Oreochromis niloticus: one gene and its partners. The protein of the gene in region 3 interacts with the protein of the main gene of each other region in a biochemical or structural test. Links are inferred from orthologs where the notes say so. Each region holds a gene or a part of one and is shown on either strand. Other genes may lie near its edges.

What was found.
Region 1: the proteins of nr0b2a (region 3) and smarca2 form a complex in vitro, tested with the Homo sapiens proteins (2 studies listed by BioGRID). The link is inferred for Oreochromis niloticus from reciprocal best matches to the Homo sapiens genes NR0B2 and SMARCA2.
Region 2: the proteins of nr0b2a (region 3) and pparg form a complex in vitro, tested with the Homo sapiens proteins (2 studies listed by BioGRID, with this or other methods). The link is inferred for Oreochromis niloticus from reciprocal best matches to the Homo sapiens genes NR0B2 and PPARG.
Region 4: the proteins of nr0b2a (region 3) and esrrga form a complex in vitro, tested with the Homo sapiens proteins (2 studies listed by BioGRID). The link is inferred for Oreochromis niloticus from reciprocal best matches to the Homo sapiens genes NR0B2 and ESRRG.

Annotation. Positions count from the first base shown.
Region 1 is NC_031977.2:35,622,977-35,631,007, forward strand, and holds the start of smarca2 (putative global transcription activator SNF2L2), read right to left. Parts: upstream 3,683-8,031; 5' UTR 3,529-3,682; intron 920-3,528; 5' UTR 890-919; coding exon 656-889; intron 1-655. UniProt on the Homo sapiens protein: ATPase involved in transcriptional activation and repression of select genes by chromatin remodeling (alteration of DNA-nucleosome topology).
Region 2 is NC_031970.2:18,928,773-18,937,426, forward strand, and holds the start of pparg (peroxisome proliferator-activated receptor gamma), read right to left. Parts: upstream 3,783-8,654; 5' UTR 3,754-3,782; coding exon of another isoform or gene 3,702-3,753; intron 1-3,701. UniProt on the Homo sapiens protein: Nuclear receptor that binds peroxisome proliferators such as hypolipidemic drugs and fatty acids.
Region 3 is NC_031976.2:7,492,638-7,499,859, forward strand, and holds nr0b2a (nuclear receptor subfamily 0 group B member 2), read left to right. Parts: upstream 1-4,799; 5' UTR 4,800-4,883; coding exon 4,884-5,418; intron 5,419-5,538; coding exon 5,539-5,780; 3' UTR 5,781-6,125; downstream 6,126-7,222. UniProt on the Homo sapiens protein: Transcriptional regulator that acts as a negative regulator of receptor-dependent signaling pathways. Specifically inhibits transactivation of the nuclear receptor with which it interacts.
Region 4 is NC_031965.2:26,539,510-26,548,442, forward strand, and holds the start of esrrga (estrogen-related receptor gamma a), read right to left. Parts: upstream 3,755-8,933; 5' UTR 3,430-3,754; coding exon 3,374-3,429; exon of another isoform or gene 3,370-3,373; intron 1-3,369. UniProt on the Homo sapiens protein: Orphan receptor that acts as a transcription activator in the absence of bound ligand. Binds specifically to an estrogen response element and activates reporter genes controlled by estrogen response elements.

The DNA of each region.
Region 1 (8,031 bases), on a different chromosome or scaffold from region 3:
CACAGTTGGGATTGAATAGAACAGGATCAAATTGATTTAAAATAATCAATAAGCTATAAAAAATAGTATTTAAAGACAACACCAGAAGAAAAAGAAGAAACCAGAATAACAGAATACATATAATAATAAAAAACATAAAACAACAAATAATATTTCACTCTCTGTAACAGGGAAATCATCACAACATACAATACTTTATTTCTAACATTAATAACTATACATTTTTAGTCTATGTGCTCCTAACAGAAGAGTGGGCGACTGCCTGCCTAAGCAGAAGTAACATCAGTAATTCTACTGCGAAACTGCCAAAATCTTTAAAAATACCACGACAAAAGTCCACTGCATGAACTCAAGAGTATAAAAAGATTATAAAAGTACTGCAAAAATTCACACTTACTATTTATGTCTGTAACAATTTATCAGACAGCAGAAATGCCGTATACCCTCACTAAGCTAATATATATTTATTTGATACTAAAATGGATAAATAAAATATTTCATTTCTTCCCAATTTTTCCTCCTTTCCTTGTTTTAGTTTGGTCAGTTTATTAGTGAGCAAAGCGAAATGTTAAAAAAACTGAATCCATTAGAGTGATATAAATATCTACTTCAATGGCAGTAATGACATCACGACATAGTTTGTAGCAGACTGTACCTTATGCATAGAATACATGCTGTCCTGAGAGTAATCACTTTGTCCCTGGCCCTGCATGCCATGAGGTGCATTGGGTGTTCCGGGTCCAGGGCTGGGGCCCATCATGCTGTGAACAGAGCTCGGTGAGGGATCTGGTCCAGGGCTGGGGCCCAAGATGGGCCCTGGGGACATACCCGCCCCAGGTGAAGGGCCAGGATGCGACATACCACCTGATGTCTCTGAGGGGCCGGACATCTACTGAATACCTGTGAAGGTACCAGACAGCTAGAGGAGGAAAATGAGAACAAGACTGATGTGATTTTAATTCCATGAAAACAAGATGAGGCACATACCATCAGAAGATGGATTTTAATATGTTAACTGTTGTTTGTGAACAACGTCAATCATGTTTATATGTGATAAAAGAATGTCGGAAACAGCCACTGAGTTAGTTCAACACCTGTGTGACAGTTAAACCTGATTATGATAACCTAAGAAGCTGCTCTTTATTGCATGACTCTTTTCTTGGGTGTAGTGATACTTTGTAGAAGCTTTTATTTCTGGAGCATTTCATATGCTTTTAAACTCTAAACATAATAATAACATGTTTTGAGTGTGTAAATGCACGTGTTTTCTAGAGATTATGTCTAAAGAATCTCATTTTAATTGAAATGCAAGCTGCATTTTTAACCTTTTTCGTTCCTCGGGCATTTTTAATATGGTGATCGTTTTGGCTGTGTTCTGGTTCATGGCATGCATTTTTGCAAGAAATCTTCTATTTAGTCAAATTTATGACATTTAGTGTCTTTTACTTTTACATGTCATTCATACCCTGTTTATGTATTTTGCACCCTTTCTGAACCTCTTGATCAACTTGAGCCCTTTTCAAAATTTCAACATTAAATTATTTTCAGGATTTTAACCCTTTAAATACCAGTTTAAACATTGGAATTATTAAGTATTTATTGAATAAACTAAATATTTTCCATATCATAAATAGTATGGGAATAGGACATTGGTGGTGATTAGAGTCTTGGGCATGTCAAACATCAGCAGCATTATTATTATAAACATGATTGCATTATTATTATTTTTTGTGTAGTGCCTGATAATCCTTCTCGACACCTTCGTGGACAAAAATGCCTCATTCACTTCCACTGAAACAACACTTTTTAATCTCTCTGCATCGCAGTATAAAACCATGCATTCTGTAATGTCAACATTTTATTTGGAAGAAAAGCAGTGATATTTGACATTTTTCACCATATTCAACCATTTCCCCACAGTAGGCCAATGCATGAAGTTCTTGTATTTTTGCCAGTTGTATTATGGATTCCTGTGACCACCAGGGAGCCCCAAGAGTGATTTGTATGGATGTGTGTGTGAAACAACATCTAATTCATCAATGGGAACATTTATTATGCAAACTGCAACAACACTGAAAACACAACAGAACATGTGAAATATGAACAAATATGAACCGAAATACCCAGGCTTTGAATATGTGATGTATGTGTGGCTTTGAGAGAAAGTCCAGTTGATTAAGCGATTTATGAAAAATTAAAGACAGAAAAAAATATTTCTTTATGAGGATTTTATGGCAGATTGTGTGTGTATTATTCCTTATTTATTATATCTTAACATATTGTATTGTTAAATAGTCTAGTCTTTTTGTTAATGTTACTGTACTGGAGCAACTGTAACCCACATAATTTCCCTAGGAATTAATAAAGTATGCTGATTATGATTATACATGTGCACTACACACACAAAAAAAAAAATCCATTCAAATCAGACTTGTTGCTGATGTCTGACATGTCCGTATCCCCAATTCTATCAATTATACGGAAAATAATTCGTCTTGTGTGTGTGTGTGTGTGTGTGTGTGTGTGTGTGTGTGTGTGTGTGTATGTGTGTGTATGGGGGGGGTAAAAACAAAATGCAGTAGTTCCAATGTTTAAACCGGCATTTAAAGGGTTAAAATTCTGAAAATCATTTAACGCTTGCTCATTTTCAAAAAGGTTAAAGTTGGTGATTTATGAAAACGCGGAAAAATTATTGCTGTATGAGGATTTTATGGCAGATTTTGTGCGTGTACATTTTTGTCCACGAAGGTGTGGAAAGAGGTGCAAAATCTGAGGAGGGCACAGGGTTAAAGGCAAAGCTCTCCTGCACAGAGAATAATAAAACCCGAGGCTGCATAAAAGGATTCTTTCATATAGAAAGAAGAAGCTGACATATGTCTGACGTTATGTTCTGCTTACAAGTGTCACTATGAGCCAGAAATTTCCAGGGTCTCAACAGCCGTAGCATGACTGACTTATAGAGCTGCATAGTGATTGCAAAACGTATCTGCACCGTTAGAAAACACAGCGATGTCATAAACACCTATAAGAAAAACAAAAAACATGCATAACAATCAGCGCCACGTAGATAAACGCTGTTGGAGGACCAGCGGCACTGTTTTCCGACCGTCCCTGTACAGTTACAGTAACGTTAGCTCGATCAACTGTAGAGCCCACTCTGATTGGATCATGGCTTCCCCAAAAAACTGGTGGCCATAACGGATATGCAGACAAAATCAAAGTTAAGATGAAAGTCGAGCACCTGACATGACCTCGTTAACATTTAAAGATGCATAATTTAACTTGTGTATCGCGTTTATAAACACGTGGTTTCACAAAAGCCCTAAATTCGGCCGTTTTTCGCTGCCACTTTGCTCGATCGTTGGGTAACTTAGCCATCTGCTAACGTCAGCTAGCATAGCCCGTTAGCTGGCTCTGGTTTCCATGCAGCGAACTGCGTCCGTGTCAGAAAGTTTGGGCAGTTAGCAGTTCCTAACAGTAGTTACACCTCAGTATTCATCAAAACCGAACCACCGTTAGTCGTTTTACCTTTTCGCTGGATTGAAATTGCAGATAATTAGATGAAATTTTTATAATATTTCTTCAAAATATGACTGCTGTCCATAAGTTCACTCCCCCTCGGTGTTGTTTTGCTGACATGTTTAAGTTGTTCTTGTGTCGCCATTACTGATTTGTCAATGTCACCGGAAGTCCCACCTACCTTAAACGGTGATAGGCTGAATCGCTGTCACTCTTGCCGTGTTGTTTTTGGGCGTGTGTCCGCTCTGTAACCAGTGCTGGAACTTTGAGAGCAGCAGCCTGGACGAATATCCCGCTCATGTAAAAGTTTATTACAAACGCGCGGTTCATGGTTTGTGTTGTAATAACGTATTTGATGCTGTGAGAGGCGTCCGTGCGCATCTGTCAGTGCTCTTCTCCCTGCCTTTAGAAATGAATACTTAAAAAATAATACTTTGCTTTTATAATTGTGTTTAACATCAGAGTAATTAGCAATTAGTTATACACACTGCACATATATGCACTGCACTGTGTGTATAATATGTATGTATGTAACGTATGTATGCCTTTATATGTTCTTAGTCTATTTCACTACAGCAGGAAAATATAAGCTCACTTTTTTATTGTTTCAAGTTTTAATTTAATTTTTATTCATATTTAACATTTAATACATGAAGCTTCAAAAGCACGCAGAGCAAACTTTATGGACAGAAGGCCTGATCCAACGTAGCATCCGTGGGATGGCGAGCTTTGGGCCAGTGGTGGGTCAGTCAATTCTCTTTTAAAGAAAACTGTCTGAAAGGATCCTAATAAATGAGTAGTTTTTTCTTACTGTCAGTATTTCACAGTAAAATACCAATAAGAGTCCTTCATTAAATCACCATGTGGATAGTTGATATGACCGTGACATGGCATGGTTATGGAGTAGTTACCGCTGTCACCATCCTTCACAGCACGAAGGTTCTTGGCTCAAATCCCGGCTCTGTGGATTTCACATGTTCTCCCTGTGCCTGGTGGGATTCCTCTGGGTAATCCAACTTCAAAACAGGGCATGGATGTGAGGCAGATAAAGTACTTTAATTGTATAGAATAAAGTGCTACATGAATATATGGTTAGAATTTGACTTGTAGTCTAAAAGTGGTCAGTAAGACTAGAAAGGTACTATATAAGTGTGAGTAGATTATAGTTTAATTGTGAAGAAAGGGATGCAGAGGGGTGTCTGAAGGGGGGCACAGCATTAATTCCACTAATACTAACAAATCATATTATAATCTTAAGTAATTCAATTTCATAGGTCAACAAAAATATGCAAATGTTATGCTGAACACTCCATGTCATGGTGAGGCTCCTCCCTGCTGTATCATCAGTACCTTTTCAGTGTGATTATGTTTTTTTGCTTTGTATTCTTGCTGCTTGTATTTAATGAAACGATGCTATCAGTCTTAGACTTGGCTATTGTTCCTCCATAAAACCATAAATACACATCTACATTAATGACGATATAAACAAACAACCTCTTTTCATGCAGATATCATTTAAATTCATACAACAGAACATAAAAAAATCTCCTGATAGCAAATAACAAATTACACACTTTTAGGGGGTTCCGTGAGGAGCAGCTAGTATATTAAAAGTGCAAAAATATGGAAAGGGATAAAAAGCATAAAAGCCAATAAACAGTAAGTTGACATTGTTAAACCTAAACTGAGATTAAACGTCACAGCATACATCATCTCGTGGCACTTGTACATATGATCAGTGATATTTCCTGCATCGCTGTCTTTGTCTTTCCACAATCAGACAAAACTGCTGCACTGAGTCAGCACAGCTCTCCTCTCCTTGAATCATCGTCTTCTTTAAAATATATCAATTAAGTGATTAAATCAAATCTAACTACATGCAGATGTTGCACATTTCATCTCATAGAACTCTTTATGTTGTTAGTTACTTTTTGTAGTTTATTAAAAAAAAACTCCTTCAGTTCATTTTTTTTACATAGTGCCAAATCACAACAACATTGCCTCTATGGACTTTCTCTAAAACTCCACAATATATGAGAGATCATGTCACTGTCAGCTGTCAGTCACAGTACACAGTCTGACTGCATTAGACACCACAGTGTTTGCACACTGTTGCTGTGGTACCATTAAAGCAGCTTAGGGAAAGTGCTCCTCTGTGCAGTTTGTCAAGTGAACACAAGATGGAGACACTGACCAGCGGATGCCTCAGTGAGCCGGCCTCCTGCTTTGACACAAGCACCTGTGAAGAACTGCATGCCTGGGCTCTAAACAAACACGCCAAATACAGAGTGATTGAGTGCTACAGTACACATTTACATTTACCAACTTAGTAAGTCTGACAATAGCAGAGTTTAAAGGCAAGCCATGCAAATAATGCACGGGTTTAGCAAAGCTCCATTTGCATCCTATTGATATCAGAAACTGTGTTTTGTTTTCATTATGAGAAGATAAAGCTGTTTTTACTGAACAATGTTTATTTAAACTCAGAGTAGATATTATTTTTTTCTGTATAGTACAGTTCATAATTTGTCTGCATTTACATGAAGTGTATCTTATCCAAATGAATTAAAATAACGATTAATAACGATTACAGCCTATTTTAGCATGGTAATATATTCAAAATATTTCTCTGGGATTTCTTCCAGGCTGACTCTTTCTACACACTGGTGCTGTCAGGCTTTCAGAATCACTCAGGGAAGTAAATTATTTTAACACCCTGTTGGCTTTGTTTTAATACACCCAAAACTTTTTGGCAGTCTTCTGCTGAAGAGGAGAAATGTGCATGTGCTAGAAAGTTTATTAGAAAGTTTATATTTCTCATTTTTTACAGTAGATAAAAAATAAGATCCACCAGATCCTACAAATATGCACAAAACTCGTCTGTTTTAGGATTATTTTGAAACGTAATCAACAGGATTTGCAATAAATATCAAATATTAAAAAATGTTAATGATTATTTTTCAAATTTCAGTCTTTTGAAAAACTAATTTTATTCGATGTGAACTATCTGTGCGCGAGCAGTGACACTTTGATGACCTTCAAAGGTATTCAAAGCCCTGACCAGCCATCATTTGAATGGCCTGCACCCCACAGATCGATAAACAAAGCTGCTCACGAAACTTTGTCCTAACGTCCCCTCCTTAACAATTCTGCCCTTTCTTACGTGTCCTTATAAAGGATGTGCACAGGGTTCCTGAATGTAAATTTTACCCAAATAAATAAACCTAATTAAGTTTGTGGTGAAAGCCACCACCCCCTTCAAATTCACCGAGCCAGGAAAGGGCTTGGCCGCAGTCATTTGTCAGTAAAAGGACTAGTGGTTGTGGCTTCCATTCACCTTGAAACCCTCCGTAAAAGGCTTCGGGGAATCACTGGCATGACAATTTATTCAAAGTCTAAAGGTTTTTAAATAAAGGGTCAAACAAAAGAACATTCAAGCAGAAATGCAAAGAAGGGCTCTTCAATTTTGTCTTCTTTGAAATATCCTATTTTGCTTTATTAGTCTCTTTAAAGGCAGAATGGAACCTGAATAAAGAAAAGCACATGTGAGAGTTTTACTGTTTAAATACCAAATATTTACAGCAGCAATTAGAAGCCACTTCTAATCATTTTTGATAGTAAACGAATAGGTTTGAAAGGTGCTTCTGTTTCTGGTACCATTCAGCATAAAATAAAGTTTCTGATTATTCTGAAAGATTATTATAATTATAATTATTATTATTATCTTTCTATATTTTAATAAATCAGGTTTGGTTGGTCTTCAGACTGCAGAATGCTGCTGCAGAACTTTAAACTGGCACCAACAGAAAATCACATATACTCGAGTTTTGGCTTCTCTTCATCGGTTGCCAGAAAATTTTAGTTTGAACTTTTTGGGCCCTTCATGGTCTCAGCCCCCGAGTTTATCTCTGACATACTCAAACATCAGGTCTTCAGGTACGAGGCTGCTGCTGCTGGCCACACTTACTCGGTTCAAAATTTGTGGGGATCGGGCTTTCAGGGAGAGAACCTGGAATTCACTCCCACTGACTCCACTGACTCTTTCAAAAACCAACTGAAGCCATTTTTAAACAAACAGGTTTTTAATTCATTTGTTGTTTTATGTTTTATTCTATTGCTTTACATTGTTGTATGTTTTATTTTTATCTCTTATTTTATACATTTTACTTACTGGCTGACTTAATAATAGTGAATTAAAATCAGTTCAATAGTTGATTAATTAATGGTTAAAACATTTTAATATTAGATGTTTGGCTGTCATGGCAACTATCTTTTAAGTGTATCTTGTAAAAATAAATAGTCAGCAAACCATCTTCAGTGTTGCTCATTCACTGATTTATTTTATCTTCATTTAAATGTGGACTACTTTTAATTTGATTCATCTGTACAAACAAAGCATGCACAGCTGTATGAGGCTCATATATACCAGAGATGCTTAGAGACGTCTCTTTCAATCACCAACCCATCATATAAAATACAAAACTGATTCCCATGGCCTCACAAATGACTTTA
Region 2 (8,654 bases), on a different chromosome or scaffold from region 3:
AATATGAACATACCATTAATAATGCATTACTCCATCCAAGTATGAACATAGACAATATTGAAGATGGCTATAGCTTTTGGGGTCTGAAAAGTGAAGCCAATGCGTACATGCCTTTAACTTGCACTCAACGATGGCCACCGGGGGGGATACTTGTAATTGAAGCCTATGGGAAAACGACTTATAAACTTGACCTCTGGAAGCATTTAGCTTAGCGACTCAAGAACTCATTTCATTTAATATAAATATTAAATAAAAAATCATTAAAAACAAAATTGACCATGCTGTATTTCAGAAATGAGGAATATATGCGGAATGCTCATTGTCTAATGACTTGGGATCGACCGCCATTAGAGAAAAGGCATGCGGTTTCACAGTCAGAACCAGCTCTCATTGCATCCGGTTTCAAAATACCAAGATGGCAGCGGTGAAAATGCTTATCTCGAAGCCTCAAATAGGGACTTTAAAAATAAACAGGTGACGTCACGGTAATTCCATCCAGTATGAGTTTGATCAAAGCTGAACCAGGAAGTTACTCCAAACTTTCGGAAGTCCGGGTAAAATTGTACTTGTGTATCTTTTCACCAAAATTACTTTTGTTAAAAGGCTCTACGATTATTGCAAAGCAATAGTTCACTTGTTCGCTACCTCTATGATGTATGTCAGATAACACCACTGTGTTCCAGACATATCGTCTCTTCGTTTTCAAGCACGTGAAAGTTGATAACAGATTAACATGCTTGAGCAGGGGTAAGTTTAACGCTCAATAAATCGTTTCTCATTATTCAGGATAAAATGCCTACATTTTTTGCAGAGAACTCTAAATTAATAACAATCAGTAGATTAATCCGTGACAATACCAATAGTAAACAATAGTAAACAGATCTCTAATAAAAATTAGGGCCTTTATTAGGGCTTTAATATGAGCCCCAGGAAAACGTGATTCCTCATGTTCACAGTCTAAAATTTAGGAGGCAATTTTAAGCGGGCATCAGAAGAGAAATACCTGAAAGGCATCATGTTTACACTTGGCAGCTAAAACATGTTCTCTTCCCACACAAACACAGATTTATTTAGGACAGCATGTAAAGAAATGAGAAACATGAGTCACTTCTCAGGGAGCAGGTGTTGTTGTGATTTAGGAATCATTGCGAGAGTGATAACAGGTGCTGTGGTTGCAAAAAAGTTTACCTTGCCAAAGGTTCTGTCGACTCAATTTGCATTGATTAAAAAACCCACATCTAACACATTCAGCATGCTAAACCTCAGACTCAATCTTCTGATTCAGTCTAAGAAATAGTGAAATGTTAAGCAGAGGGACGTTTTTACATTTCCCAAATGTACAGTTGATGTTGATCAGCTCCAAATATACAATAATGCAAAAATACGACCCTGCAAAAATGGGCTAAAAATCAAGTAAATCATAATGCTCATCAGTACAAATAAAATCAGTATAGACACAAATTTTACAGTAAAGAGGAGGGGACACTGGTTTAAAGAAAGGGAGATCCAGACATAAAAGTTTAACTAGTAAAGCAGAATTTTTCATTTGTAAATAACCTGCTTGTGTCCCATATTTCGGCGGTCAGTAGAATTCCGCAGCCAAAATGTTGCTTTAAACATACAGTAAATGGTGAAATGATTGGCCTTGAAGTTAATAATTACACCCAATTGAAAAAACAAATACATGACCTTAAGGCTAAACTGCGTCAAATACGCATGTCATCAGATAAAAGTAAATCAAACATGCGCTTTTGAAAAACACAGTAAGAATAAGTTAATCTGATATATAGTAAACAAACCAAAGTGTTGGTGGTGTAGAAACAAAAGTGGTTAATTATCTGTGGGCTGTATAGGAACGTGCCATTCACTTTTATATGGATTTTATGCAGACACAAATGCGCAGACTGTCTTCTTTCCTTTCATGCAGTGATTATGCTTGGCTCTTAATGAAGTTTTGCAACATTTTAAAACCGCTGCATAGAGGAGCGGCAACTCTCTCATCATAGATTTTAAATTAACACAGATTTTCAAGAACTAAGGCAATTGTCTGTGCGGAGGTGTTTTTAAGAGGCTGAACTTTGTATCTGTGGCTTTGTGCAGAAGTATATCATCTACGAAAAGTCAAACAAGACTTTCAGCACGTGTGATGGACAACAAAAACATAGCATGGTATCTTGAGGCACTCCTTTCATTTATGGCAACTAAGCAAAGTCCAAATCTATCACAGTCATTCTCTCACACACACCAACACCCATACACACACACACACACACACACACACCTCACTTCTGCAGTTATATAACCCGACAGGCAATAAGGCACTGATTGATGATGTATCAACACACTCAATTGGGTAGTCAGATTTTAAGCAGCGTATGCAGAGATTAAAGGCTAATTTCACCAAAGATATGATATATTTCTCTAACTGATAAGAGTTCCTGGAGATTTTAGACACAAATATTTGAATCAGACACAGCGAAACAAAAGATTCAAAAAGTTAACAAAAAAGTCTTTTTCAAACAGTATTACCAAACTTACATGAAATCACTTCAACAAAATGAAAAAAACAAAACAATAACCTTTTTATAACTTCTCTTATTTCTCACCCACAATTTTATCAGAAGTTCTCTGATTTTAAAATAGCCGTATTACATCAAGGGTCACGTTGCATGGCCGTTTAATCTGTGAGATCATTCTGCTAAATGTCTAATAATTCACAGGATCTGTTACTTGAGATCACCCTTAAAAATGTACTACTACTATATTTAAATAAAATAACTCCCGTTTTGTCGACACTGTTTCTCTGACTTTCTGACTTAATTGTTAAAAATATATTGCTGCTGATTTTCCACTATCTTTATCTTTGCTGAATATTATGATAAAACATGACTGCTTCAGCTCATTTACTACCACTGACATGTACTTACTCACTTGGGGAGCTGTTTTTACATTTGCCTTCAATTGATTCCCAATTTTTGGTTTTGAGGGTCAACATACTGTGACAATAAGCCTGCTGTGATGTTAAATGTAACATCTAATAGACTCAGAGGAAAGTAAACAGACCAAACACATGAAAAATGTCTGAAATGCCCTTGTGCATGTAAATAGCAAACTAAGTTTTGAACGAAAAGTTGTGATTTGAAGGATATAATGGATAAAATAGTGATTGTTGCTGTTATAAAATATCTCTGAATGTTCTTCCAGCAACCCCACAGTGTTATGAGACGACTGACATGAAGATCATACAAAGCGATGAGGAAAACAGGTGAACTTATTGTGACACTCTTACGCTTTACACGGGGCTCTTACAAGTTTTCTCACCGTGTGTCATTACTGAGTCTTAAAAGAATACCACCGAGACGTTTAACAGTTCACATCATCTATCACAGAGCCGCGCAGCAAGCCTCAAAGAGAAACGAGTGTTTAAGTCTGAGCTCCAGTCAACAATATTGCTGAGTCACCACCATTATTTTCCTGTCAATTCCAAGAACACAGAACTGCCTGAAGCGTGTGCGACATATCCACAAATTCCACGTATGACACAAAAGGTATAGACTTCAGAGAAGTACACATACACATATGTACTGTACAGGCCCTGTAAAAAGCCTCTTTTACTCAGATAAATGCTTATGAAATGCTTATTCTACAAAGTTTCTCAGCACGACATACACAGAAACAAACAAAGCATTCCTCGCACTCACCTGAGAAGCTGTGGTCAGTTTGATGGGTAAAATCTCTGCCTGGTGTTTGCATGTCAAGCTCACACTCACACTATGGCCCTCAGGCACACTATGGCTCAACACCTGACTTTGTGTCAGTTGTCAGTCCTGTGGCCGCCCCCCGCCCCTCCTCCCCCCGTCATTGCCACCCCCAATCTGTGTGCCACAGCCATCCTGTCACACTGTAGGCTACCTGTGCGTGTCCACCTTAACATGTAGACCGGGGACAATACTGATTTAGACACAGCTGGATAAATCAACAAGTCTCCAGCTTGAATCTACTTGTTTAAACTACTTTTGAACCAAATCACCGCAAACATGTTTTCTTTTGTCTTTTTTGGTTAACGTGCACGAATATTTAATATCAGATGAGACTGCAACAGTGTAATATTAACCCAGTCTTCAATAATTTAAATACACCCCCCCCCCCTTTTTTACGGTGCTTTCCCGTATTTTCTCACCCAGCCTAACAACCGCAACACTCAGCGCAGCATACTGTGCCGACCGGAAGGTGACTGACCTGATCGGTGTGTTGAGGCGCAGAGGAGACAGCGCACACTCTCTGTTTCTGAAGCTGGATGGTTTGTCTTTTATTTTCGATGTTGTTAATTTCTTTCAAAACTCGAAAAAAAACCCCAAACAAACAACGGAAAACCCAAACAAACCGTGGCGTCCGCACCGTGCGCACCGGAGCGCGGCGTCAAAGAGGTCCGGCGTGTTTGCTGTGCGGTTTTCTGCTCAAGCAGCAGCAGCAGCAGCTGTGGTCGTGTCAGCCTGCCTCTCTCTCGCTCTCTCTCCTCCCTCCTCTCAACACAACCGATCGGGATCGTGAGGACACAGGCAGAGGCATCAAATTACCCATTATAGTGGATTTTCTCAGTTGTTTGCCCCATATGGGAGAAACAGGTAATGTAAAATTCAGACCTAAAAGTGTTGTTTCTTAGGTGTTTAGCCATGTGGAACAAATAACTTAAAGGAATAGTTCCACCTCTTCAGCAAAGCACATATTCACTTAACTTGCAGGTAGTTAAGATAGTTTGATATAATTTTAACAGTAGTCAAGAGCTCAGTGGATTACCTTAGACCAAAGACTGCTAAAAGAAAAGAAAAAAAATCACCTTTTGGTATGGTTAAAAACTAATAAAATCCGCTTACCACTTGTGAAAAGCTGCTCTAACTTAGATGCACCAATAGTAAACTGCATTCGTATATCATTTACCTGCTATGTGTCACGCTATTTTTTTTTTCCGGGAACTGTGTATGGAACAAGTGAGTCTCTTTAAAGTATTGTTCCCCTCCAAGAAGTAGTTCGGCTTTTAGATACTGGTTTTGCAGATTAAGCAAGTAAGGTTACACTTTATTTGGTAAGTTTGTTTTTTTTTTACATTTATTTTTATTTATTTATTTTTACTAAGATAACCAGTTGAACGTGGCAAGAAAAATTCAATTCAGTTTAATGTAAGTCATATGTCGTGATTCACTAGCATAGTTATAAAAATAATCCATTACTCAATTATATATACTTAAACTTTGACAGGTTTCATTATGGAGAAAAAAAGGCGCACATTGAGACGTCATAGCTTGGATTAGTCTTGTTTGATATTATTGGATCACTAATACTGATGCATTCACGTGTAAGCACGGGTTTGTTGATGTAGTTTTTTAAAGGTGGGGCTCGTTTTATTTAGAGTACTGGTCGGTAGCTTAATCGAAAACAGTGCAACGTGTTTTCTAAGCTGACGTCTTGTGTACATCAAATCTGAAAGCTAATTTGTAACTACTTCATAAGTAGCAGCTGTACTAAGCTGTTAACCAACTAATTTAACTTTCGATATTAAGTCCATTCCCCAATAATAGTCAATTGTTCCTTTAATATGCAGTCACTTGACAGTAAGTGGTTGCTTGTTTTGTTGCTGCCTGTCGGGCCCCCCCCCTCTTAGTCACTTAGTTTACCAGTGATGACTATCGGGCTGATTACAGTCATATTTCTGACATCGCAGTCTTTGGTCTTAGAAGACAGGACTGAATTCACCTGCTGAAAGACAACAGGGTGATCATTTGACTGTGCAATTAAGTCATCTAGTTCACTAGGAAATCCTGCGAGTGTCGTTTAGCAGATAACATCCTGTCGACCCTCTCATGTGTTTACTGAAGCTGAAATTTTACTCTGCTGCATCACTTAGTTCATGAAACTCCATCCGGACAGTCAGCTAGCCTGCTGAGACTCAGTGCAAAAACAGGTGCACAATGAATAGTAAATTTGCCTACGTGCTGCATCTTTTTAGACTTTGTTGTAGATTTAAGGATCTTTGACTAACCTCAACAAAAAGCTCGCTCTGTTTTTAACTGAAAACCAGACATGACAGAATCTAAGGGCTACTTTTAATTTTTTTACACTGCTGACTGAAAGCAGATGTGGTTCGTGTTTTTTAATGCTCTTATCTTGAAATCACATTTTGTTATATCTGACTACATATCGGATGTTGAACTGCTGTAAATACCCTGCTTACCACAGACTGAAGGAGCTATTCTTAAGATTACGAATGAAGCATCTCAGCACTCACGGTGCAGGTGGGTGTTCAGACTGAAATGTGCCATTGCATGAGTACTGCTCGCTAAACAAAATCCATGAACAAACACACATATTAGATTTTGTTTTAAACTTTTACCAGTGCTGAAATGTACAATAGCCCAACAAGTACAAAGAGGCCTGTAGAAAACACACACACAAAGGAATAAAGCTGCCTTCCCCCTTTTTTTGGTCATTTGACCAGAGTCTGACCTGTTGGGGCTGCTCGCTTTGAGGTGGCTGTCTATGACGTTGAAACAGCATGTGCACAACTACATGTCCTGGTTTGCATTCATGGTTTTTCAGGAAGTTATTTTAGCAAACTGTAATCTTTGGTTTGCAATAGAGACCGTCGTCGTGTCACTGTGATTGCAACAAATAAATATGAATCTATAGCATATGCTAGAATTCTTAGAAGGTCTTTCAATAAAAATGTAACAAGTCCAAAAATTGTAGTGGGATTTGTGTCAAAACCAAACTAAAGCAAACGTGTGAACAGATACCTGACGGTGTTACTTCTCAAACATCAAGGTAGAATTTGTGTGAGCAGACGTTTCAACCTGTTTTTGAAGCAATTCAACGCAACTGATGTTAAGCCCTGCCACTCACTGCTCAACACTGCAATCAATTCTAAAAAAACCCCCCAAAAAAAACAAAACAGTTTCAAAACGCAGGTAAATGCAGCTGTTAATTTTGCTACCCTGTGAGTGCAACAGTGAGCTTCAGTTTAGCTGCCTTTGATCTATTATAACTCAGTATGGTGGACTGAGACAGCTGCTACACTTTGGTTATTTACACACACACACACACACACACACACACACACACACACACACACACACACACACACACATTCTCTCACTCTGTCTCACATGCATAACATCCTCCCCATGCAGAATTTCTTTCTTTTTTTGCAGAGATAAAAAAAAATGACACCCCTGAGAGTTTGGCTGTTACAAACAAAGCAAAGCAATAATTTCTGATTGTTTATACAGTCGAATCCCTGCAGACTCGAGCTCTGGTATCTGAAAATGTTCATCATGAAAGTACTTGTGTATCTTAACAGGGCTCTCCTACGCTGTCATGATTATTATAAAGTGAAAAAGACTTGTCATTTTTCAGGCTTACGAGGGGTGCAAGCTGCTCAAAATCAATGTGGCTTTTAGTGAGGAAATTGAAACCCTCACAGTTAACGTTACGGCAGAAGAAATCGGACAAACTGGCTTGATTTGTCCCTCCATGCTCTTATGTATGGGATGACAAATGAACTAAATCTTTAGATTATAACATTTAATCTCCCATCTCTCCCTCCAGCAGGTTGGGATGAGCACCAAGACAAACAGGATTTGGCTAGTATAGGCTTGCTTGGTGCGTTAGCCGCCCACATAAATGTCCCTTTGAGCAACGTGATGGAGACGTTCCCACAGATCTCTGTTGACTGGTTGCCCCATGGACCAAGAGCCAAAAGCAAAGTGTGTTTCCTCTGTCCTGACTGCACACACTGTATATAAAGTGTGTCTGTTTGTACACGTGTGTGTCATGTTATAAGCGCTCCCAGACTTTGTTGAAGAACTGGTTCTTTTTTCTAATTTTAAAAAATTGTTTAAACTTGATGTTACCTTGAAACCCTTTGTGATGTAGATGAAGCATCTGATTATGTCAGATTTTTTATGCTGCATACAGTAAACACACTGTCTGCCTCTTTACACAACAGAGAGGAAAACAAAAGTTCCGTTTCACGCAAAAGTATTGTGGTTTATGTTAAAGGCTAAAGTGGCACATGTGAAAAGGGCCCTTCCACCACTCGCCTTCTTAAAGTGTGACAAAAGCGTGACATTAAAGGCAGGATATGAAAGAAGAACAGGATGAGGAAAATATGACAAAGAACTTTTTTTTTTAAAGTGTCATTAATATGTGTTTTTACACACGTCTGTATGTATAAGTAATATTTTTAGAGACATCTTTAGAGATGTGTAAGGTATTTTTATATGGAAGGTATTCTTTAATAGTGTAATAAAAATGATAAAATGCTGATCTTGAGAAATGACAAGTACACAACTGACAGCACTTCCACATATACACAGTGCCATCTGCTGGCTCACAAGAGAAAATTCAACCCAGTGCCTCTTAAATAAAACACCACAAGACATCATTAATTCACACCTCGCTCGCTTAAATTTATGTGATGCTACTGGCAAATGATCATTTTTCTACTTTAAAGTGTTCATAAAATGTAAATATTGTTCTGACTGTGTAAGATATAAAGTTCTGCAATGTTTTGATATACAGTAAGCCTTCTGGCATTGTAGATTTGTTAGGGAGACTTTTGTGGATGCCTTAGTATTTTTCATCTAAAGGAAAATAAA
Region 3 (7,222 bases):
CATCACTGCTGAGGTGGGATGCAGTAAGACAGTCATTTGGAATTTCTTAAATGATCCTGAGGGTTATGGAACAAAAAAGTCAAGTGGAAGACCCATAATTTCATCGAGCACTGAGCCGGAGGATCCAATTGGCTGTCAGGACATTGGACGATCCTAAACCCAAATTAAGGTGGCTACTGGTGCCGACTGCAGCCCCATAACCATCAGACGGAATCTGAGACTGAAGGGCTTCAAAGACAAAAAACGTCTTCAAAGGCCTCGTCTCCTTGAACACCACAGAACTGACCGTTCAGACAAGAGAGCACCAAACACGGGACATGGAAAGGTGGAAGAAAGTTTTATTCTCTGATGAGAATAAATTTAACCTTGGTGGTCCCGATGGTTTCCAACGTTACTGGCGTGACAAGCAGATCCCACCTGAGATTCTTTCTACACGTCATGTGGAGGGGGCACCATAATGGTCTGGGATCCTTTTTCTTCAGTATAACGATGGAGCTTCAGGAGGTGCAGGGGTGTCAAACGGCCGCTGGCTATGTCCAGATGTTGCAGAGAGCATCCCTCATGACTGAGGGCCTTCGTCTGTGTGGTAACGACTGAGCGTTTCAACAGGACAACACTACAGTACACAATGCCCACGGGACAAGGGACGTCTTCCAGGAGAATAACATCACTCTTTTGGACCATCCTGCGTGTTCCCCTGATCTAATTCCAAATGAGAACCTTTGGGGATGGATGACAAGGGAAGTTTACAAAAATGGACAACAGTTCCAGACAGTAGATGCCCTTCATGTGGCCGTCTCCACTACTTGGAGAAATGTTCCCACTCACCTAATGAAAACGCTTGCATCAAGCACGCTGCAACAAATTTCTGAAGTGATCAACAATAACAGTGGAGCTACTCATTACTGAGTCCATGTTTGGAACTTTGATTTCTGTTATGGGTTTTGTGGAAGTGTGGTCCTAAACATTTGATCAGCTGTAAAACAGCCTGTTTCAGTTTAAGCATTGTTTTCAATAAATTGCATGCTCAAAAAAATATTTTGTCTCACTGCTATTTCTTCTTGTTGCATGGTGAAGCTCGACTTGGAACCTTGTTAAGTTTACAACCATGTAAAATGTGATTTTTTTGCTCACTGGGGCACATTCTTGAACAGTCACTGCCGAAAAACTCGGCATCATTTGAAAAGAGGATGTTTATTTTAAAGTTTATTCTTAAAATTAAAGAGCTCAAAAAGGGGAATGATAGACCATTTACTACTTCATTTAATAATTCTTTCATTTAAATGTCTTTTTTTTGGTTGTTCTTTTATTTCACTGCAATTGAGGTTCTATGTGTATATAAATGCAATTTCAATCTGAGTTTTAATTTAGTGATTCTGTTTTTTTTCTTCTCCTGAGTACATGTTCCCATGAGGCCACCCTGTGTGAATCATCTTTGGGTTGATGACCTTATTAAAATGGAACCAGGCAAATGAACCTCCGCTGTATTAGCAGTGGGTCAAGGCCAAAAGTCATGTTCAACACATGACGTCCATCATGCACCCACGTGGTAGCACGGAGCGTTCAGTGGCCTGAAAAAACTGGAAGCAGTGGAAGTTCAGGCACTCAGTCTGTGAAGATGAGTCTGAGCTACTTGTTGACACATATCCCACAAATCCAATAATGCAATTACAGTAAAGTCACCTAATAAATTCTTTTAAGGTGCATGAATTTTGAAGATATTAGGAAAACAGTCTCCAGCTCCTGTCTATTACATCATACTTCATCACCATCTTGCTTCCCTTTACTCCGAACACAGTGGTTGTTCTACTTATAGTATGAAGGACGTTTTCGTTTTACTGTCCTGGCAGAGATAAGCGTCTGTCCTCCGTGCCCGTCTGTGCCTGCTCCAAACCTCTATAAACACGGGCCTTATCACAAGCATTTACAACTGTCAGCATGCTTGATGAAGCCTGAGGGCTGCTGAGTGAAGTATAGGTCACTTTCCTGAAGGGAAGATAACCCATGCGTCTTATCATGTTTTGAAGCTGCGGTCCACTTCGATTAGGCTTCTGTGAGTACAGACATCGTGTCCCATATGATTGATATGATACTGTCCATCATAATGAGATCACCCTGTGAAAAAAAAAACAGGGCTGTTAAACATTTTTCATGTATTCTTTCAAGGAATGAGTAAAGGCATTGATAACGTAAAACAAATATTCGGTGACTGGTGCTGCCAGTTGTGTCTGGTGTGTAATCTCTTTATTACGGTCATTCACTTTATGAACTGACCTTGACACAGGTACCCTGCAGTTCAGATCTTCCTCTTAAACTTCCAGTTTCAAGCTTCTGGGCTTGTCAGGCTTTTTGGCAAATGTGTCACTAAATAACAATAAATAACGAGGATGGTACATCATATATGGTGGCACCCGGGATCACTGACTATCATAAATGTTTTACTGTCTATAGTTCATGGCACTGGATGTTCAAACCAGAGGTCTTCCACATTGGGTTGTTTGTTTATTTCTTATGATAATAAAATCATTTTCTTATCAGCCCCAAACCTCGGTGCCAGGTACGGGGAAGATAACAAAATAGGATAAATGCATTTAAATGACAAGTGGAAAAGTGTACGACATGTTACGGACGTCATGAACTCCACGTACAGGATTTTGTTGTGCTCCTTTCAAGTTTCATAAACTTGAAAAGAAAATTCATAAAAGTTAGTTTGATATATAAAGAGATATAAGAATGTCACAGACTGAAGTAAGATCAACCTCATGAGTACAATAATTTGCCATGGCCAGTACAAATGTTTACTAGATATTTTTTTCGCAGTACAGTAGTACAGCACGTATCAGGGCAATCGCCGTAAAGTCTGCACACACAGCCAGGGCTGGAAATTCCCTTCACAGTACACAGGAGTTCGACCCAGACTGATCTGGATTTCTTTTATATTGACTTGAGAACATTTTTTAAATATTTGTGTGTGTATTTGTGAAGATATAAGACACACAATTTCCAATTTTATCCCATCTCACAATGATAAAGAACACTTCTAAAAATTCCTGGTTCCAGATTTGCCCTAAAAATGAATAACTTCCAAGGTCAATTTTAAGTAAATCCCTACATACATCTGAAAAAACGAAACACTTAAGCTTCAGATAATAAACCAAAACCCCCAAATTCGTAAAACTCACAAAAGCAAAACCAATAATAAATAATAAATAACAGTTTTATGCAGGTGGTTTTGTGTTTAATTGTAAAAAATATTTTTTGAGGGGTGGTGGGAGAAAAAAAATGTGTGTAGCAGTTGTGTCAATAGAGCAGTTTCTCACACATTAGTTTTTTGTTTTTTTATTGAGTGGACGGGTCAGAGCTGGAGGGCTGCAGGTACGGTGCAGTCTACTTCTTGGGTGCAGACTGAAATATCTCAGCGGTCATTTTGTACAGATGCTGTGGATTCTCCAGCTAATAGATAAACGGCCACACACCCAGTCCAGTCGCCTCAGAATCATCATAATCACCTGACCCTGCTTTAATAGTAAGTCCCCGTGTTACACAAAGCTTGACCTGTGATCCACTAACCAGTTATCTCTGCCTGTTCCCAAACTGCAGATTAATCTTTACAGGAGGGAGGGATTCTCGAGACTGCCAGCGATCTGGACTTTTAGTGGTGTCGGTGTTTTCATTGGAACATCCGTTACAAATACAAAACATGAAATACAATAAATACCACTGGGCAGCTGCGGATTCACCAGTCTGGGTGTCAAAGTACTCCTGGGTGGTATGCTGAATCCTGAGTCCCCCCTGATGTATCCATCAGAGTGTGAGCGTGTGTTTTAGGCACAGATAAAAGTGCTGTGTGGATGTGTGAGACTGTAGAAAGCAGTTTGAATTTGATTTCAACTGATCTATGCAAGTAACAGTCCATTTACCAGTGTGTGATAGTGCTGAAACGCTATTTCTGTACCATAAATAGAACCATATTCAAGGCTGTCCTGTGGTACACAAGAAGGTTTTCTAGCTCTTCTTCACAGGTTTGTGCAGAATTTGTGTTTTAACTGCATGCTTGTAGTCTTTACATTGCAATGTGGCAGTGAAAATAAATGTCTGCTTTCTCAAATATGTGTCCAACCTTTCAACCCTTGTGAGCTGGAGGAGGCTGAATTACAGTTCTCTTATATAAAGCTTCCTCTGGTTAAAATCACAATATAAATAGTAATAACTCAGCTTGTTTAAAAGTCAAGATTCCTTGCCAAATAATTCAGTTTTATTTATATAGTGCCAGATCGCAGCAACAGTTGCCTCAAGGCGCTTTATATTGTCAGGTAAAGACAATAACATCAAGGTGGCTGTTTACAACCAGTTTCCACTAAATTAGAGTTTTAAAATTCCAGCTCTGTTCTGGGATTTTACTCTTTTATTTGGGAAAAAAAAAAACATGAAACACTTTATTTGAAGTTATCTCGCAGGTCAGTGACCCAAGTCTACTTTGGCCTGTTTCCAGTATTACAGGTGTGAGCTGGCAGCAAGCAGGGGCTCACTGTGGGGCTGATTACTTTTTGCAGTCCTTGGTAGCTTGGTACTGCCTGGGTTAATGACACCGGTTACAAGATAAGACCCAGCCCTCTTGATAGCCAGACGTTACTTCAGCAGCTCCTTTTCATTGAGAAAAGCTTATCAGTTTCCCAGGGTTGTTCCAGTCACCTGGCAGAGCACACAGTTGTTTTTCATATGGAGCATATTGACAAGTCAAGGTCCACTGAAGCAGGTTGGGCTGGCCTTATAAATAGAGGGAGACTCCAAGCAGCAGCAGCAGCTGTGCTCACAAGCTCGTGAAGAGCCCATCCTGCCAGAGGATTCATTTAACTGCCTACACAATCTGTGACTCGGTTAAAATGGACAGCGCGTGTCGTTGTTCAACCAGCAGTGATAGGACTTCAAATCCTATCCTGTACAACATCCTGAGCCAAATGGATGGCAGCAGACTGAGCCAAGGCAACTTCAGCTACAATTCAGTGCCTCACAGATGCAAATGTGAGGCACGACGGACAGTGTGCTTGAAAAGGCCGTCGGAGATTTGCAAAGAAGCTTCGGCGGTTCTGGTAAAAACCCTAAATTTCATGAAAAACTTGCCCGCCTTTAACCAGCTGCCTCCAAACGACCAGTTCGCCCTTCTGAAAAGCTGCTGGGCGCCACTCTTCATTCTGGGTCTGGCCCAAGAGCGTGTGGACTTCGAGGTGACGGACATCCCCACTGACAGCATGCTGAAAAAGATCCTCCTGAACAGACCCGAGAGCCCCGAGGTGGAAAGGGAGCAGCCCACTATGGCCGGTGTCAGCAAACTCGTGTCTTGCCTCAAAAAGTTTTGGAGTTTGGATTTGAGCCCCAAGGAGTACGCATACCTCAAAGGGACCACGATATTTAATCCAGGTACATATTCGATGTGTTCAGCTTCAGCTTTCTCTGGTCAGTGTTCGGTGGTTTAATAACGGTGTCCAATATTAAGCATTCATGTAACTTTACAGTTTTGTTTTGTTTTTCCACCAACAGACGTACCAGATTTGAAGGCAGCCCTGTTTGTGGAAGGCTTGCAACAGGAAGCTCAGCAGGCCTTAAGCAAGGTGGTTCAGCTCCTCCACCCGGGGGACGGGGACCGCTTTGCTCGAATCCTCCTCACAGCCTCCATGCTGCAGAGCATCACCCCCAGCCTCATCACTGAACTCTTCTTCCGGCCTGTGATAGGACAGGCGAACCTGCTGGAGCTGCTGGTCGACATGCTCTTCTGCAGATAGGAGCGGTGGATTTTAGAGCTTTTCCGTCTTTGTGAAATGAAGGAATGCCTGATGGTGGGCTGCTCTAAAACACATTTACTATTAAAAAAAAAACTCAAAGAAAACAAAAACTGTGAATTGTTGAAGATGGGGTTATGAATTGCTTACACTGAAAATGATGCCGAGGTCACTGTAGCCCAGTCTGACACGATTTCGTCCAATTGAACTGGATTTGACTTTCTACATTAGGACAGAGTGTACCTACTGTCCATATGTTTGCTTGATCTCATGACGGGAGCTCTCTGTTGTAAATAATTATTGTTTGCATTTACAAAGGTTTTCAAATAAATCTATTTTTTTTACACGAATGAAGAGTGAAATTGTGTGTCAGTCACCTGAAAAGGGAAGCCAAATCAAACATTGAGTTTGTTATATATGTACCAGCTGGAACATCTGATAGTGACAGTCTGGTTTGAACATTTGACCCCTGCACTTCATTGGCAGGCCCATCAGTGATATGTGCAGGACAGCATGTACACATTAAATTCTTGTTGTTGCCAGAGCTCTTAAAAAGCAAATACCTTGAAAATGGGAGTAAAAGGATGATTTTGGTGGTCTTTAAACAAACATTGGAATGAAGTAGAAAACTTTTTTTTATGGTAGTATTTCTTCTTTGATCCAGGAAGTAGCGAGCCTAGCATTTCAACCAGATGCCTCCTCAAGAAAAATGCTTGTCAAGTCATTTTTACCTAAACAACCTCTGCATTAAAATGTCAGGAAATGTTTTACATGTTACATTTAACATGATTGCTTTTTGATTTAAAATAATTTAACAGCTAGAAGACTTTATTGAAAATAGGTTTAGATAACTGTATTACAGAAAAACAAATAGTATCTGAACACATTAAAATGATAGGAATACAAAAGAACTTTGCACTGCTTTAACAAATAAAGACCTTAATGAAGCCAAAAAACAGAAGAAGAAAAAAAGCGTTTACAGAGAATATCTCAGTTCTCTGTGTGAAAATGTCCCGTTGATAGCAAAGGTCAGAGGAGAATGACCAGACTGGTTCGATCTGATAGGAAGGCAACAGCAAGTCAAATAATCAGTTATTACAGCCAAGCTGTGCAGAAGAGCTTTTCTGATAGCAAAATATGCCAAACCTTGAAGCTGATGGGCTACAAGCAGCAGAAGCAGAAGACCACACTGAGTGCCACTTCTGTCCGCTAAGAACAGGAAAATAAAGCTACACCAAAGCTGGACAATAGAAGATTAGAAAAATGTTGTCTGGTTTGATGGGTCTTATTTTTTGCTCCAATAATCAGATAGTAGGGTCAGAATTTGGCATAAACAACATGCAAACAAAATTCGGCTTTGAGCTGAGGCTGGTGGTGGAGTGATGGTGTGGGGGATACTCTCCTGGCACACATTAGTACCCGCTGAGCATTGTTTAAAAACCACA
Region 4 (8,933 bases), on a different chromosome or scaffold from region 3:
TAGGTCACACATACAAAATGGGAGCATGCAGGCACGAAACCACGGATGGCAACAAACAGATGCAAATTGCACGCTCACACACTCACAGACACACACGCGCGCGCGCAGCCAGCAAATCAGCACGGCACATATTGACATGCTTTGACAGATGAATTAAGTAAATGATTTTATAAGGAGATTAAAAGGATTTTAATTTACGCAATCTCTCTTTGGTCCCCCTGTCCCTCCCTCCAGTCAGCTTTACCTCTCTTTCTCTCTCTCTCTCTTTGCTGCATATCCCCCTTTATAGGCTGAAAAATAAGGTCCAGCGACTAAGATTAAGGAAAAGAAAAAGATGGGAAAAAACCATTAAATGCTCTTTATTGTCTAATCAAAAGCAAGCCATATTTTCTCTTTATTCTGAATAACTAAACATATGTATATTTTGCTGTCGCACATTTAAACAACAAACGGTCAAAGCGTCAGACGGTTGGCCTTCGAGTTAGATTTTTTCTCAATTGAATTTCTTTCTCAGTTTCATATAAAGTAGTTTGCCATATTAGGAAATCAGGAAAAGTACATCTCTGTATGATGGCCAATGCACTTTTCCAAACGTGAACTAAAACAGTGGCATTTGTCGCAGCAGAACAAGAAGCAACACGACATTACGTGTGAAAATTTGATGCCTGAATTATATTATATATACTAGTGTAAGTAAAAAAAAAAGTTTGTTTTTCTGTCACATCTAAATTTAGTCTGATGAACTACTTCAACAATGTTTAACCTGAAACAGATTTTTATTTTTATTTTTTTTTACTCACAATCACAAATAATTTCTTTCGTCTACATTTTCATGTATTTAAAAAGAATTAAATCCAGACACATCAGATTGGAGAATAATTCCTAATCAAATCATTTGTGCTCCCTTGTGCTTCTCTTCATTACTGCACTACAAAACCTTTGCCTGACTGATCGGCCACTGTGCAGTTCTCACCACCCGTCCGTTCTCCCTCACACCCACTGTTAAAAACACCAAAATCACTAAAGTCACTGTGGGAAATATATTTTAATGATATGCAAATGTTATGTATATGGTGGCATGAGGGGAATGCAATTATGTTAACAGCTTAAGTGGTACTTGTTGTTATTATTATCAGTATGATCATCATTATCCCTAATATTTTAATTAGTATAGGAAAGCAGTGCCTTAGAGCAAAGAAGGGAAAGCCTGAGCCGAGAACAGAGAACGGTGGATGGATGGATCGATGGATGGATGAATGGATGTGTGAAGGAGCGGACGGACAGATGACGGGACCAGAGGGCTCTCTAGAAAACGTTTGAGTGGCAACAGCTTACGTACACTTGCTGAATCACACGCAGGTAAAGCAGAGACATCTCATGCTATATGTCTATCAGGAAAGTGTGTTTTTCAGTGAGCATATTGATGCTTGATGTCTAAACACACTTTTCACACTTCTTGTCCACTAAGGAGCAAATCCAGTTCAGAAGTTTTTGAAAAATTTGAATTCTTTGTCTTATTCTGAAAAAACAAAAACAAAAAAAATCAAGACTCTTACACCTGAGCCGTTACAGGTCCTTAAAATCCACCCCACTGTTTTGCAGTTGAAGGACCAACGTAGAGAAAGCTTGTTCAGATGCAATCCACAGGGTTAAAACCTTCAGATTTTGCTTTGCTGGAAATTCAGTTATTCCCTCTAAAAAGGGAACTGAAATGACTGATATTCTCAGACTCTCTAAAAGCTTGATTGGTCATACCGCAACGATAATAAAATAATCATTTAAAAAAATCCTGCACATACATTTTAATTTGTGCTCTTTAAGCATTTACTTGCTCAGAAGGGGCAATTTCTCATATTTGCTTAAATGACATTTTAATTCAAACAGACTGAAAGTTAAAAGACAAATTTTTAAATTAAAAATATAATAAAATAATATTTTAATGTAAAGTAGTGGTACAGTTTATCTCCGTTTATTCTTTTAAAAATGCCTCTATATTCAACATGCTTTACGAGTGAGTGGGGCATGTGTGCTTTAAAACACAAATGATTAGAAAGACTGAAAGCAAATGAAAAATTGCCTATTTCCATCAAAAATGTTACGAATACCATTTTGGGAAATATTACAGTACAACATTTTGCATGAGCTTCTGCTCTGACTTTGTTCTTTCAGCTTTCCCACTTCCGACTCTCTACCGTAAAAAAACACTTAAACTGTGGCTTTGATTTAGTGTCACTCATTCAAATTTAGTTCTAAGTGGAAATGGGTTTAATCTAAGCATGTGTTTTAAATCTATACATATATATTTATAGATATATATATGACCATAAAATCTTTGCTTCATTTATGAGCTTTTCAAATTCGAAAAGATGAATGCCAATAATTTTATACATACAGACAAAAAAGGTCTGTTCGGCTACTGAATCACACACGCACAGTGTCGGAGGAATGTTTTTATCTTGTCCTGTTTAAGAAAAGAATTAAGCAAATACTGCTATGCTTTAATCATTTGTTTGTTGGCTCAAATTTTGTTTTTTAAATAATTGTGCACACAATAATCTAATCAAGCAAACTGCTGTCCACTCTGCCAATCACTTAATCTGCATTTTGCACATACATCTAAAAGAGCAAAGCATTGGCGAAAGGAGCAGCTCAGCAGCACTCGTGTGTTTGTGTGTGTGTGTGTGTGAGTGTGAGAGAGAGTGTGTGTGACTGTCTCTAATTCCTGAGCGGGGCCACACGCTGAGCTGCCCGTCTGAAATTCTACCTCCTCTGGCATTTAAGAGCGCAGCTCTCCCCCTTTTCTCTCTCCCTCCTCTCTTATGGGCCCTTTCCTACACGTTGCTCCTGTAACCTTAATGCCCTGTTATCTCGCGGATTCTCTGCTCGGATGAACACATACTTAAACCACACATGCATAAGCATAAACACATGCACAGGTACACGCATGCAGACATGTAGTGAGAAAGTTTGTCCCAAGAACAGTCTGACTTCAAGTAAAGTGGTTGTTGAAAACAGCGAAAGTGAAAATGGAGTAAACAATGTGTGTTTGCAGGCAGGTGTGTTTGTGCGTATGTCTCACTTTCAGGTGAAGGGACAGAAATTTTGCTCCTCTGCCCACTAAGTAAGAGCTGCTGTCCGGATACTGCAGCCACACACACACACACACACACACACACACACACACACAAAGACAAGAGTGAACGCGTGCTACCTGACAGCAGAAACAACCTTGACACGGTGCCGGCCACCTCCGCTGCATACCAGCACATACACTCACTCACTGACTCACACAGTCACTTACAGTGGAAGACAATGGCAATGACAAGTTGGATGATCAATAAAAGGATAAGAGTAAAAGGTAAAATTTACCTACTCTTGTTCAGAGTGCATTAAAAAACACTCGGATAACGGGTGTCCTACCGAATCCATCGGCGATACCGGGTCATTGTCATGTCAACCTCCTCAGGGTAAATGGCAAGAAATTAAACACAAAAAAAAAAATGGAAGTTTTTTTTTTATATCTCTCCTCTCTCTTCTTTTCTCTTCTTTCTCTGATCTTCTTCTCTTTCGGTCCTTCCTTCCACTTGGAGTGAGCAATACAATTACCGGGCTCTGCGCTGCCTGGACTGATCAGCTCTGCGTGTGTGCGTAGAAGTGAGGGAGCATGTGTATGCAGTGTGTATGTGAGAGTGAGAGAGAGGGGGCTATAGGCACACACACAGCCAGCTAGTCAGGCAGTTGGGACAGAAAGCTGTGCTGCTGTCCTAATCAACGACTTAAAGCCCCGATAGCGGCTCATGAATATTAAGCAGCATTTTGCATATGTAGTCCCTCAGGTCCCAGTTGTGCTGTGATTGGTGGGTGCTTCACCAATAGCTGCAGGGAGGGGCGGAGAAAGGGGTGGAGAAAATATGGGAGAGCGAGAGAGAGGGAGAAGAGCAGGTGGAGAGGGAGGGATCAGACAAAGAGCACGGAGGAAAAGAGAGAATGAGGGAATCAGGAAGGAAAGGAGGAAGCAGAGAGGAGAACGAGACAGGTGCGAGAAAGGTTTAAAGCAAGACAACCTGCTCTCCTTTTTACTGTATTTCTTTCTCTCTTTATCAATCCATCTTTCTGACCTTTCTTCACTGGTCTCTCACTACCCTGGTCACTCCTGCTCACTCCTGCTCTCTGCATGTACCTGCATTGGTAAAATTACATTCTCACATAAACTGCAATATTAAAAACTGACAATATATTTATTTCTAACAATGTAAAAAAAAGTTTTAACCAAAATCCTTTCAAATAAGGTCTGAACCACATGAGTAACACCATGTTATTAGGATCTTTTAAGGACCCCAATATTGATTTGTGCTCAAATGGAAAACACAAAACTGACCTAATCAAATCCAGAGAAATGCAAGATCAAATAAACAAGTGTATGCTTGACCATGAACCCAAAGCCTGAATACTGTGTCACACCGTAAACACACAGGCACAGCGCAGCAGAACCCATCGCGGCCCAGCAGTAAAATATGAGATTATAGCAATTCCAGAGCGCTTGTCCTTTGTTGTGGAATGATTTGGGCATGATTGGAACAAGGTTTTCCCTGCTGCTTGCTGTTTTGTCAAGTTCACTTTCATCTCTATACCAGGAGGCTGTGTATTCCCAGTATTTCCGAGCACCTTGGAATGTGAGCATAGGTACTGCGACTGGGATTCTCCAGGAAAAATTAGCTCACCGCTTCTCAGTTTTAGAGCAAGGAGGAGACAGCGGAAAAGAGAAAAGGGAATGCAAGGAGAGCGGGAAGGGCCTTGTAAAAAGGGGAAAAATCGGAACCCTGTAGGGACACTCTGAATGATACACGCACTCTTTCTGTCCTCTTTCCTTTCTTTTTAACTAACGTCTTCCTCCTTTTGATTAGACTTTTTCAACACTTGGGTACCCCTGCACATGGGATGGCGGGGGAGAGAGAAGTGTGGAGTATAGAGGGAGACAGAGAATGGAATCGGAGGGGGTGGAGGAGGTGGAGGTGGTGGTGGTGTTGTTGGGGGTGGGGGGGGTGGTGCAAAGATGAAAGAGAGTGGTTGTGATTAGCAGCTTTGGAATAGTACAGATAATAAAATATTTCCTGAAACCAATCTCAGCTTTGATGTACATGTGTGTGTATGTGTGTGTAACTGCTGCCTTTTCTTTCCCTGTTTTTCTTTGACAAACACAGAGTCCAATGTTCAACATTTCAACTGCTTAACAGAAAAACTGTTACTAAAACATTGAGGTTAGCGCACTAAATATTCTTCATATTCTTCTTAGTGTAGCGTAGGATATGTGTATTGGTTTTGCTGATAAAGCACTCTAGCTCTAACTCTTACTCTAGCTGCATGGAGAACTCAGTACCTGTTAGCCATAGTACTGTTCAGTTAAATGCCATTTTAAAGGTAATATGATTATAGCTTAATACATGTGTGTGACGTGGAGAATTTTTTGACATTGTGGTGCTGAAAGACCCTGTGAAACTGAGCTTAACTGCCTTCACATGGGCACAATCAGGGTCTTTACAAGAATAAATACATATTTAGAAGTTGTTTCGGAAGCCGACAAAGTAAAGATCCAGAGACCACATACGAAAACAAACACACTCATTGTCACAGACTACTTGCACAGATGTACCTTTGCCATTTACACAGAAGGATAGGAATTCAAATACATGTCTTTACAGATATATAGCTGTTAGGTTTGTGTACACACATACACATGCAGGCATACAAACATACACACAGTTATGATGTATCCAGAGGCTTATAAGCATCGACAAAGATGAGTGTGAATCAATGCTGCCGTCACTACTGTGCAAACAAATCCTTTACCAAAACCTCAGTGTCTAACACACTCGTGCATACACAAGTACACACACACACACACACACACACACACACACACACACACACACACACACACAATCTCTGTTTCAGTGCAGAAAGTCCAAAATGTTCTGCCTAACACATTTATTTAAAATAAGAACTACAAATCATACATTGAATTAAACAATTAGAAGCCTAAACGTCTGTGGGTTGTAACATATCAACGAATGGCTATATAAATATTTGAAGAACAGTGTTTTGACGCACACAGAAATCATTAATATTTGTCTAAGATGAACTGGTTGCGTTTATGGAGGCGTAATTTTTAGTTAGTTTATGTTACAAAATATTCAATGATTCTTTAATTTATGCAGTTTGTGTTGAAAGTGATTTCTACTGACTGATAATTTAAGCACAAGCAGCAATGTGGTAAAACATAAGAACGCAGTCTAAGAATCAGCTTTCACTGTGCATGTGTGGTGAGTGATGCCTTACAAAGCTTTGCCTTTTATGTAAATACAGAAAAAAATGTTATGGTGAGACAATAACATCATGTCATGCACACAACGCCACAAACAGAGCTGTATTCCTTAAAATCCATCAACCAGTGCACACACATAACAGCCGTTACTTTTTCTGTCTTTCTGCCTCACTCCTCTTTTCCTTCTCTGACCCCTATCCTCCCCACCCCCATAGACTATTGATTGACTCTCAGTCAGTGTGTGTATGTTGACAGTGACCCCTTTAGGCCACTTTTCTCTATAACTGGACAAACCATAAACATCTTAAATGCAAACCTTTAACTCAAAAAGCCAAGGAGAGACCTTGAGCATCCACGATGTGTGCATATGTGACTGCTGGGTAACAGACAATATTTCCATGCACAATGCTGCAGAAATATAACTGCAAATAACAACATAAAAACAAAAAATATGCAACTCAGTCAAAGCACAGTGTAAAAATAGCATTTTATCATAATTAATAATTGTATGCATGTGTAAATGGCCTTGCTGGCATCATTTTAAAAGTTCATTTACAATGTAAAACCTATTGAGCTCTGTAACTGCTGGCATCTCATTCTTCTCTTGTCTGCCAGTGTGTGTAAATCTGTGTGTGGGTGTGTGTGTTTTGACCCTGCGGTGGCAGCCTGTTGACATCTATGGAAGAATTATCCATTGCAACTCTCGCTGACATCAATCACACTACTCAATAGGCCACAGCAAGTTCATTCAGAGCCCTGTATTGTGAGCGGTTGTATGTGTGTCTTTGCTGGTCAAAACAATCTTTAACAAATTCAAGACGCGGCCACTTAGGAAGCTGACCCCAGGCCACCCATCGACACATGTGCCAGTCATGAACAAAGTACTAGACTGAGGCAACAACTGCAAACAAAGTACTTTCAACAATAATAAAACAGAGCATTTGTTCTTGATAATTAAAGAACATTTCCTTTTTTTTATAAACATTTACGCATTTAAGGTAGGTTTAAGTAAGTACTACGAGCAGGACAAACATTTGACATTTTAATGTTAAAATGAGGACTAAAAAGCTAAGCTGTACCAAAAGTGAAATGAAGCAATTTGGAAATTTCACACATTACTGAACTTTGCTTTTGTAGAAAAGAGGGGGTGAGGCAGACGGAGAGAGTGAGAGTAAGAAATTGCACTTCACTTCAAGCCAACAGAGGGAGCTATGGACTCTGGTCAGTTTACAGCCAACAGCAGCACAAAGACTCACAACTCGTGTGTCCATGGCTGTTTGTAGGAATGTAACTAAAAATATGCAAGATTAAGTCACAATATCATTCATTGTGAAAGCCAACAAAAATAAACAAAAATACATAAAAGAACACCATCTCTCAAAAACACACACATAATACAAAGCTACACCACCAACAGGATCAGGGGAGATGGAGCTAAGTTATCTGATAGCTTTGTCAGCAGGTACAGCAGAACACAGTGTGGATATGGACAATTTGAACAAAGACCCCTGCCTGCTCCTCCAACCTGAACCCAGAGAGAGAGCTAAAGGCAGGGAGCAATGAAGAGTGAGAAGGAGACAGGGAGAAAAACAGAGCAAGAGAAGCCAATAGGAAAAAGCGAGAGATCTGTAGACTTGAAAAGACATCTCTGTCACTAACGTGACTGATGGCTGTAATAGCAATGAAAGGGTTTGAAGTCACAAGGTGTTATTAGATAAACACTGAGTTTAAGCTGCAGTTCATTTCAGGCTGTGTGAGTGTAAAACAGCAAAGGAAAAAACTTGCCCTCTGGGCTATATATTTTATGTATTATATATTACAGGATATAATCCACTAGGATAATCAGAAAATAAAATACTGTAGTAGTCATAAAGAATTATTTTTTTTAAAAAGGAGTGATGAATATATTTGGAATTATTCATACAAAATAAATATCTAAAAAATGTTTTTTAAATATTTAAAAATGACTTCTATGATCGAGTCGTGTCATAGCAGCAATGTTTGTCTATGTAAACTAAATGGGCCCTAATTACTATGCTACATCCTACTTCCTGCATTGCACTTAACCTCAAATTAGTCATAACAGAGTTAACCAACTACAAATGTCTTAACTTTAAAGAGATTTCCTTACTACAGTAATGTAATAATATCAGCTCCTCACAAGGGCAGCAGAGAAGGCAGTTCAAGTATTGGGTGTTAACTTTACAACCGACATGTTCAGACCAAGTGAGTTTGACTGAGTTTTGGATTTCCAATGAGGTGGAACTATTTGGTTTGGTCAAATAATCAACATTTTACAGGCCTACATCAACACTCCCACATAGCAGCCACATGCTGGCAAAACGAATAATTTGATGAAAACTAATTACCTGACGAACTGAGTGAACTTTTCAAAAGTCATCGTTTTGGTTGCTAAATCATTTTGTGTGTTAAGGGAAGGAGCAGTGATGGCGATCGAGGCCAAGGAGAGAGCACCAGCTGCTGGGGAAAGCTGCTGGGTTTAGGGAGCTTTCTGGAGCCTGTCACCAAAAGCCTGTCTGGGTAACCTTTGGAGAAGGGTACATGAAAGTTACAAACACACACATGCACACACATGCATAAAACACACTAA